Cricetulus griseus: one gene and its partner. The protein of the gene in region 2 interacts with the protein of the main gene of each other region in a pairwise test. Links are inferred from orthologs where the notes say so. Each region holds a gene or a part of one and is shown on either strand. Other genes may lie near its edges.

The links. The genes of interacting proteins can lie anywhere in the genome.
Region 1: the proteins of Wac (region 2) and Dydc1 interact in binary tests that used the Homo sapiens proteins (3 or more experiments, as listed by UniProt). The two-hybrid records come from large-scale screens. The link is inferred for Cricetulus griseus from reciprocal best matches to the Homo sapiens genes WAC and DYDC1.

What each region holds. Positions count from the first base shown.
Region 1 is NW_023276807.1:179,044,934-179,049,757, forward strand, and holds the start of Dydc1 (DPY30 domain-containing protein 1), read right to left. Parts: upstream 3,140-4,824; coding exon 2,993-3,139; intron 2,548-2,992; coding exon 2,446-2,547; intron 1-2,445. UniProt on the Homo sapiens protein: Functions as part of axonemal radial spoke complexes that play an important part in the motility of sperm and cilia. Plays a crucial role during acrosome biogenesis.
Region 2 is NC_048596.1:207,007,715-207,012,463, forward strand, and holds the start of Wac (WW domain-containing adapter protein with coiled-coil), read right to left. Parts: upstream 3,297-4,749; 5' UTR 2,921-3,296; coding exon 2,880-2,920; intron 2,514-2,879; coding exon 2,477-2,513; intron 1,066-2,476; coding exon 852-1,065; intron 1-851.

The sequences.
Region 1 (4,824 bases), on a different chromosome or scaffold from region 2:
ACACTCTCACAATAATATGTTTTAATTTTAAAAAGAAAGCAAATGTTCAAAATAAAAAATTTAAGATTGATCCCTTTTATCACTGCAGAATTTCTTCGTAAAAATTAAAACAAGCTTGCAAAAAATATTAAGCATCTAAGGAATTCATTTGTTCTCAAGGCAAGGAATGATATTTGCCAGCGTGAGTTAATTTAAATAGTGTTGATTTACATGCTCAAAGAAATGTGTCACCCTGCAAAATTTGTTTGTTTGTTTTGTTTTGTTTTATTCTTAAACTATTAGTAAGAAAGCTGGATGTCAGGTCTCAAACCTGGGACAATTGCTAACATATCAAAGTGGACCTGGCCACTACATTATCCTAGTATTCCTCAGTCCCTAACTGTTACAGGGTATGGCTGACATAGCCCACTTCCTAAACTTTTCCAGCCCAGGGGTTGGGGTGCCCTTTCCCCAGATGCCCTTGTCTATATAACCCAGACATATTGGTTACCAAACCCTTTTTGTTTACTCTCTACTCTCCCGGCTCTCCCCTTGTCCCTCTCCTCATGTGACCCAGCTCAGGATCATGTTCACTCTGGACTCTGATGTACCTGCCTCTGGCTATACTCTCCCCGTAAACTTTCTCCTCCACCATACCTAGGAGCAGTCATGTCTCTTTTATTTTTGTTTGTTTTTGTGTTTGTTTGTTTTTAGTCACTGATCAATTTGTTGACACTAGGAACAATATCAGCTGTCAACTAAAAACAAGTCAAATGCTTTTGAGCATTTTCTCTCAGCTTTTGTTGAGTTTTGTTTGCTTACTCTATTTAATTTTTGACAGTCTCACTATGTAACCTAGGCTAGGCCAGAACTTAAGATCTCCTCCCTCTGCCTTCCCAGAACAGGGATTGTAAGTGTGTACCACCTGCCCAGCTTTTTCTCTGGCTTTTGTTTAGGAGAGGATGCTGCAAAGGTGTCCATGAATTACTCTTGGAAACCCATCAGTGCTGAGTTGTAAATGACCTCGAGGAAGAAGCCAAATCCTCAGCCTCCAACTCAAACACTTCAGGGAGCAAGAGAAAAAGAATGATCTGCTACTTCTCATCTCAACACACTCCCTGTTAAGCCCTTTTCTGTTGGTTCAGCTCTCCTTCTCTTATCTACTTCTGCCCACCCATCCACTTCTTTAACTAACCATAACATCTCTTGTAGAATGTCATCCTACATTCCACACCCCCTGCAAATGAAATGCTTTGGGTTCAACATGCAGAAGATTAGCTTTGCTGGCTAACACAGCTATGAAAATGTTGAATTTCTAGTGTAACTAAAATTTTATTCCAGTAGAATGAAGTAGACGCATCAAAGGCTGTGAAGTATATCCCCATAGTGAACTCATTGTCTTGGGAAAGAAGAACAGCTGAGACTCCCTGCTTCTCTTCAGTAGAGACAGATCTAGCTGTAGAGGAGGACAGGTCCAAGTGGGCAGCACTACTACAGATGCTTGGCCTCCAAATACTACATCATACTTGTTTCAGAAATGCTTAAGACTGTAGTAAGATGACTCAGGTAAGGTACCCAAGACAACATGAAATTCAGTTATATTTTATCTTCTAACTGAAAGTAATCAAATACCACATTTTATCATTTTGCTATGTGAAACAAAGTTTAACGATGTGTAATTTTCCATTCCTTGACACCATGTAAGCACGCAAAAAGTTACATATTTAGAAATATTTCTTGTTTTGGGTTTCTTTTTTTTTTAGGTCAGGGATGTACAACCTACCCTTCCATCCTCCTAAGGTATTATTTCAGACCTTCATCATTCTTTCCATCCCTCCTACCTCATCACTTGATTCTTAAGTATATGGTCCTGGTTGATTCTTACCTCATAAAGTCACACCAAGTCAGCTTTCAACTTTGTGTCACAAGCCAATACACCCACCTACACCTAGCCACCTATGCTTTGTCTCTGAGCTGCAATAACAGAAAGGTTCATCCACTTGTTTTCCAGGCCCATTGCCTCTTTTTACAGTGGATAGAAGGTTTTAGATGGTTTTTTCGATTTTTCTATTACGTGTTCCATGTGTTCCTGAATCAAAATAAAACCCATTTCCCTTCCCCTCACAAACCCCGTTAAAGCATAATGCTCACTCACCATCCCCCTTCTTACCCTCTACACCTCACACTCACCACTGTTCCTGGAGAGACTGCCTGGGCTATAAATGAGCACCAGCTCAGCAGTGGTGCTGTTGACTATTCTCTGAATTGTTCTGTTTCCTCGTGGCACTGTCTCTTCACAAAAAAAAAAAAAAAAAAAAAAAAAAAAAAAAAAAAAAAAAAAAAAAGGATGGGGATACTAGGGAGCAATGTCTGAATGACCAGAGCCTGGGAGTATTTCCAGATGTGGGTTGTAGCACACCAAGGGTGACACTGTTAACTTCCATCATATTTGAGTGCTTGTCTTACCTGCTGAAATAAGAGTTCCTCAGCTTTGAGTCGCTCCAGCATTTCCTGCTCCATCAGTGCTAATTCTCTCTCATGCTCCAACTCAATCATCTCTTTCTGTCTCTAGCAATTGGTAAAAAGCAACAGCACACAACTTATTAGAGACCAATCTGTTAACACAGTCTCAGAGGCATCTCAACCACCAGCAATAAAAGAAGGGCTAAGAACATAATGCTCTATTCATTTGGAAACTATACAACAATTTGGGGGATTTTTATGATTTAGCCAAACAAAGAACACACAATTAAGATTATACATCAAATATAAAGAAAAATGAAACCAATCTACAGACAAACATGTCAGGAAAAGACACTACTGGGTTGAAAATACTTAAAATCAAAACAGAAGCCTTCTTTCTGTTTTCTCTCCTCTCTGCATTCACATACTGTCCAAAGTTTTCATATAATAAACATTATTGTAATGGAAAAACAATATTGAACATAAAATGTAAACAAGATGAACCAATTATCATGCTCTTCTAATTTCCTGAAAGGAGATCCATATTTACCAATTGCTCCATGATCACATTTTGCTTGTACTTATAAATCCACAAGGCTAAATATTCTATTGGATCCAATGGGCGGACTCTTGCCACTTCAGCGAGACCTTGAGTCAGGCATGTCCCCAGGCACTTTTGAAGATATGATGACTCCATTTTTAATTCCTAAATAAAATGATCTATAAAAGTTTTTCATTAGAGCCAAAAGTGTTCTGAATAGGCAGAGTTAAAAGTAAAGTCAAGCTAAGCAGTGGTGGAATTCATCTATAATCCCTGAACTATGGAGGCAAGTAGGGGCAGGCAGATCTCTGAACTTAAGGCCACCTTGGTCTATAGAGAGAGTTCTTGGTCTACAGAGAGAGTTCCAGGTCTACAGAGAGTACCCAGAGAAACCCTGTCCATATATATATATATATGGCTACCGGAACATTCCACTCTGTCACTAGTCATGGGTATTTCTTATTAAGGATGAAATAAGCAGGCTGGCCCAAGGAAACTCCAAATGGTCTACAAAAGGTCTCTGCAGAAGTCATAGTGAAAATAGCTACTACATCCTGACAGTTCTTGTTTAGTCCCAGGGTCAGAAATGGGCACTAGTGTTATTCATCACATTGTGCCAAGTAATGCTGGTGCCAGTTAATGCCCACAACATCTCAGGCAATGGTCAGACAGGGAAGCAAACTCAAAGAGCTTTAGTGAACAGTCCAGAGCACTTGACTGGCATGTGAATGTATGGTTTGTACCCACTGCCTGACCTCAGAACCTTAAGTCTATTGACTCTAAGATGCTTCTGCTATGTACTTCCATAAAACATCACAAACTGTCCATCTCTTCTGAAAAATCATGTATTGTCAAAGCCAGAGAATACAAATTCAGATTCCAATAAACAGCATGCAATTACTCATAATCTAGCCATAAACTTTAGGCTTACCTCAAGCACCTGCCTGTCATCATCCACCCTAGGCCCTTACTCTACCAAATATTCTGCCATTCTACACAACACACCCTGCACTTTTCCAACTCCACGATCCTCCCTCTATTGTTGGAACATGGCTCCTCACCTTCAAGGTACAGACCAGCTCTAGCTCTAAGAGTTTTTTCAACCAGTACAAGAAGGTTCCTCCTGCTTCAAGTAGTTCATACAGCCTTCATCATGCTGCCTGAGATGAGAGAGAGAGAGAGAGAGAACATGCATGCATGTAGGCATACCATGCACCTATGCTTGTCTTTCTTCTAGAAGACAGACCCCTCTAGGTTCCCAAGGAGTATTTTGGTCACAGGGCTAACAGCACTGAGCAAGTTTGTGCCCACTCCCAGCTGTTTCCCAGTCTTTTCAGATATGAACATTGTTGCATGGCTCCTTCTGGGTTGACTATTTCTATTTACCCCAGAAGGATAAAAGACTGAACATATGATTCTACTCAAGCTCAGAATTGTAACCCAGTGTATTTATTGGGATTGCCCACAGAAGCTACGGTAAGAATATATGTTCCAGTGAGAAGTTTACTAATATTGCTTTGTTAAACGTATGTAATCTGTCTGTCAGTTGCCTTCTAAACATCTGCATTTAGACCTACAGACTACCTCTGATATCCATGGTGGCATGGAGAAAAGTAGGGGAGATGAATATTAAAGACAAATCAGTAAATACAAAATTAAAACTGAAATGTGTTCTCTTAAGAGAAGACAACAGGGGCTCTGACAATCCAGGGAAGCCAGGAAAAATCTTCTGTGAAAAGTTGATATTTGAGCTAAGCTCAAGTTTTCTGAAGAAACAGTAAAATTCACAAGACAAAAAAAAAAAAAGAGAATTTTAGCAGCTAGAGGAGAGAGAGTGCCAC
Region 2 (4,749 bases):
ATTTATAAACAGTGAGCAAAGTACATGTGCAAATGTACCTATTCCCAGTCATCCTCACCTGAATAGCTCATATGAGGCCCTATCTGAAAAGGCAAAATAGGAATTTAAAAAAGATCTTTAAAGTTGTGTATTTCTATTAAACATTAACAGGACCCTAAGGGAAAAAAAAAAAAAAAAAAAACACACACACAAAAAAACAACCAAAAAAGGGATGTAGGATTTTAAAGGGTTAAACAAAAACTAATTTCCTAAACAACAAAAAGCCTTTTTAGGCCGTGTTGTTGGCACAAGCCTTTAATCCCAGCACTCGGGAGGCAGAGGCAGGCAGATCTCTGTGAGTTCGAGGCCAGTCTGGTCTCCAGATCGAGTGCCAGGATAGACTCCAAAGCTACAAAGAGAAACACTGTCTCAAAAAAACAAACAAACAAACAAATACAAAAAGCATTTTTAATGGCAGTAGCTATCTTGATAAACCTCCTCTTTAAATGTCTAATTCATAATTACAATTAAAACTTGAACACTTGAAGCACCAATGACTTCAAACTAAACCAGAATCTTCAGAACTCAAAGTTCCCTTCTTGGAAAACTGCTCAGGGACTCTGCTGTCATTAGTAAACATTTAAAAGATTATCTTTGTAAATGCACTCGATATTTATCATCAAACATTGGAGTCTATGCTCATGCCAACATTACTTTCCAAGTGACTGAAAAATTTTAAGAGAGGGGGAAAAAATACCAAACTTGATAACATCAGCATACAGTAACTTCCTTAAGGTCGACACACTGAATGCACTGTTTAACCCTTAAAGTACATACATATACTTGACAGTTTGGGCCAGAAAACTACTTACCACCTTCCCTTTCTCTAACTCTTTGAGTATGCACATTTTTGGCCTTATTGTGACCTGTGCTGTCACTGTATTTGTTTTCAGGACTATCAGATCTCCGCAACATTTTATTTGGTGGTGAAGGATCTGCGGCGTCTCGCATCTTTTCATGTCTGTGATCACCACTGCTGGGGTGACTCTTTGACGAATACTTAAGTGCCTGGAAAACATCACCCCCCAAAACAAAGAGAAAAAGTTCAAACTTTAAACTCAATTACCTATTTAAATCACAAATTTTAATATGTTAACTTCACTTAAATCAAAATTCATTTATTTCCATTCTCAGTACTTCCCTTATTCAGAGAAAATCTAAATGCTCAAGAGTTACTATGCAACTCCTGGTAAGAAATCTAATACAACTAGGGGGAGAAAAAAAACCCTATTATGTAAACTTTAAAAAACAACTATCTTGGCACACTTTGAAACTAAAACCAGTTTTTGAAAGCTTAAACTGCAATCCATTTATACTCTACAAATAATGCATCCAGGCACATGTACAAAATAAGCATGTTTTTAAGACCATAGTTAATAAAAGTTTTTCCATTTCTTTGATTCAAATAAAGCACTAACTCGTAGTTTACAAGCTCTTTCAGGGATAAAATACTCTTAAGCTGCAAGAATATTTGCCAAAACTGATGCATGAGCAGAGCTTCTAAGAAGGCATAATTCTAGACGCCCTTAAAATAATGGCTCTCCTCTGCAGGTGCTTTAAGATGAACACAATGTATCAGTCCTTCACTAGTAGTTATATGGGGGAGGGGTCAATAATCTTTGACACATGCAAATATTGTCATCCCGGAAGCTCCTATACAGTAACACAACATCGTGTTAGAAACCTGCTTGCTCTCTTGCCAGACTGGTGGCTCCCACGTGTAATCCAGCACTCAGAAGACTTAAGACAGGAGTAATACTGGAAGCCACAGAACCTTGAGAGGCAGATCTGTTCCAATTCTTTTATCTTTTAAAAGTGATTAGTGGTGCTATCTGTTATCATCAGTTAGCGTCCAGAGGACACTCCAGCAAATCTTTAAAACTTTACATGCAAAAACTTCAATAACAATAGACGCCCAGAGACATTACTATTGGCATAAAGAAACCAAGTGGCAGAAAATTTAAATTAACTAAAGCAAAAACAAAACAGTTTCCCTTGAAAGGGAATAATGTTAACTAAAAAAAGGTACTTCTCCCTTTCATCTACTTTAAAACCTTCACATTTATCTTTCGGCTCTCCAAAAGCAAGCAAGCAAGCAAATGTGCCTCTCACGTCACCTATCACTACACCCCAGCGATTCCTTCTCACTCAAACCCAACCAGGTCTTCCTGGTTACGAATGTTTTTTTTTTTTTCTTTAAAAAGAAAGAAAGAAAAACCCTGAACTTCCTCTAGCCACCTCTCAATTTAAGTCCCTGGATAAGCTTGGAGAGTGGTAATGGAACCCTATACCAATTTTTAAGCGGGCCAGTCATGCTACTTTCGGATTTGTTGCACCGAAAGGCCTGTAGCGACTTCTGAAGCCTGCGCTCGAGTAGCAGTCCCTCCCTTCCCCCTCCGGCCCCCTCCAATCCCTCTACCCCCGGATCGGCTGGTACCTGGAAAGGCTGAGAGTCCCCCCTCCGGTCGTGACAGCTGAAAAACAGTAACAAGAACCGTGGCATGAGACATCGCGGGAAAGGAAGAAAGCGGGTTCCCCCGGGCGCCCCTCCCCGCGGGCCGCCGACCAAACCGTACCGGAGCGGATTCGCACCGCCGACAATCCCCGGGCTCAGAGGCCCAGGCCAGTAGCCGGCCCGCAGCCGCGGCCCGCTCGCCTTGCCCGCCAGGACCCCCAGGCTGCAAGCCCGTCCGCCCGATCGACCCGGCCCGCCGCCTCCTCCGCCCGATCCCGATCAGGGTTAACAACAAAAATGGCGGCGCGGCCAGCTCCCGATAAGGACGCCCGCCCGCCCGCCCGCCCTCCGCCGCGGCCCGGCCCGAAACGAAAAGACGATTTACCCATCACTGAGTCTCTGCTGTTTCCTCGCATACATTACCATCAATGCCCGGCTGTGTGTGTGTGTCGGGGAGGGGGAGAGCGGCCGCGAGGCGGGCGGGCGCGCGCGCGGGCGGCGGGCGGGCAGCGGGCAGCCCGGCACCAGGACTCGGCGCGCCCTCGGCGGCTCGCGGCACCTCCCCGTTACTGGCGCCGGCGCTCCCGGGCCATCTCCCTCAGTCCCCACCGCTTAGGGTCGGCCGGTGCAGCGGCGCCAACTACACGGCGGCAGCGCGAGCCGGGGGGAGGGGGCGAGAGGCCGTGTTCGGGTCCCCGCGGAGAGCGAGCGCCTCCAGCAACCTTCCCCTCCTCCTGCTCCTGCTCCGCCGCCGCCGCCGCCGCCTGCCCTCCTCCCCCCGCCGCCGAGTCCTTCTCGCCGCCTCCTGCCGCTGCCGCTGCTAGCACCGCCGCCGCCGCCGCCGCCGCCGCTCCACCAACTACATCCGGGCAACTCGGCCGCGGCCGCCTTCGGGAAAGCTCGGCAGTTTCCGCCACACCCCCCTCCTACCCACCCCGCGCGGCTGGAGAACGCCGCCTTCGGCAAACCTCGGCTTGCTCACGCCCTCCTCTTCCTCTGAGGCCTGGGCTCGTAGCCCCGCGACCCGTCAAGCCCTTTCCGGTTGCTGCTTCCCTCACTCTCGACTCTGGCCACTCCCGTTCCACTTTAGGGGTAGTCGTGCTCGGGGGCCTGCGAGAGGCGGGCCCCGGGGCCTCCGGGCTGCGCGGGGTGGGAGCCGCCTTCGGGAGGAGAACCGTGGGGCGCGAGGGACGCCATCGCGGACTAAATGCGGAGCGGCGGCAGCTGCGCGTGCGCCCAGAGGCGCAACGGCGGCGGGGGCGGGGTGCCCTCCGCGAGTCGGCCGCGGCCCCCGCCCCTCGGGCTCCGCGTGGGGGTCGGAAAGCCCCTAATTGGGCGGCCCGGACGGTTGCCGCGGAGCCTCGGCGGGCCGCGGCGGAAGTCGCCCTCAGCCGGCCGCTGGAACCCGGAACCGCGGCCGAGTGCAGTCACTCATCCTGCGCGGCTAGGGCGCCGGCCTTGGCGCTGGAGACGTTAAGTGGCCGGCCGCAAGGCGGAACGGAGCCTTCCCACCGCGACTTTTCCATTCCCTCCCAGTTCTTCCTCTCGCTGGAAGAAAATTCTTTGGAGAATGCGGCTGCTGAAAGAAAGAAAAGAAGAGAAAGAAAGAAAGAAAGAAAGAAAGAGAAAGAAAGCGTGTGGTGCCGGGCAGCGATGGCGCTCGCCTTTAATCCCAGCACTCGGGAGGCAGAGGCAGGCGGATCTCTGTGAGTTCGAGGCCAGCCTGGTCTCCAGAGTGAGTTCCAGGACAGGCCCGAAAAGCAAGCAAGCAAGCCTGTGGTGTGCTAAGTGAGGTTGCTGTAAGTTATTTGAGATACACGGGGTGGAAAAATATCAGCGACAGACTTTTCTTGGTGATAGTCGACTGGTTTGTTATTGTTGCCCTGAACGTAGATTTAACAGAAAAAGTTTCAATAAACAGAAGAGAGCAAAATGCACATCAAAAAAAAAAAAAAGCGATGCCCCTTCAAGATAAAAAAAAAAGCACTGAGAAGTCAATTTGGCATCCAACAAATTATAGCAGTGTCAAGTCTAGTTAGTGTAAAACAGACTTGAAACCATAACTGAAAAAAAATTAAAATAATGGTATTGTGTGCTTGTCACATCCAGGTGTCAAATGTTAAGATTTTTATGAGCAAAAGCCTGCTTAATGCCCATAGACGCTATCAGGAATTAAGAAAAAAGGTTGACAGTGAAGTGACAAGGGAGAAGGAATGGGGAAGGCTATAGGGAGAGATCATTTCTAACGTTTTTTG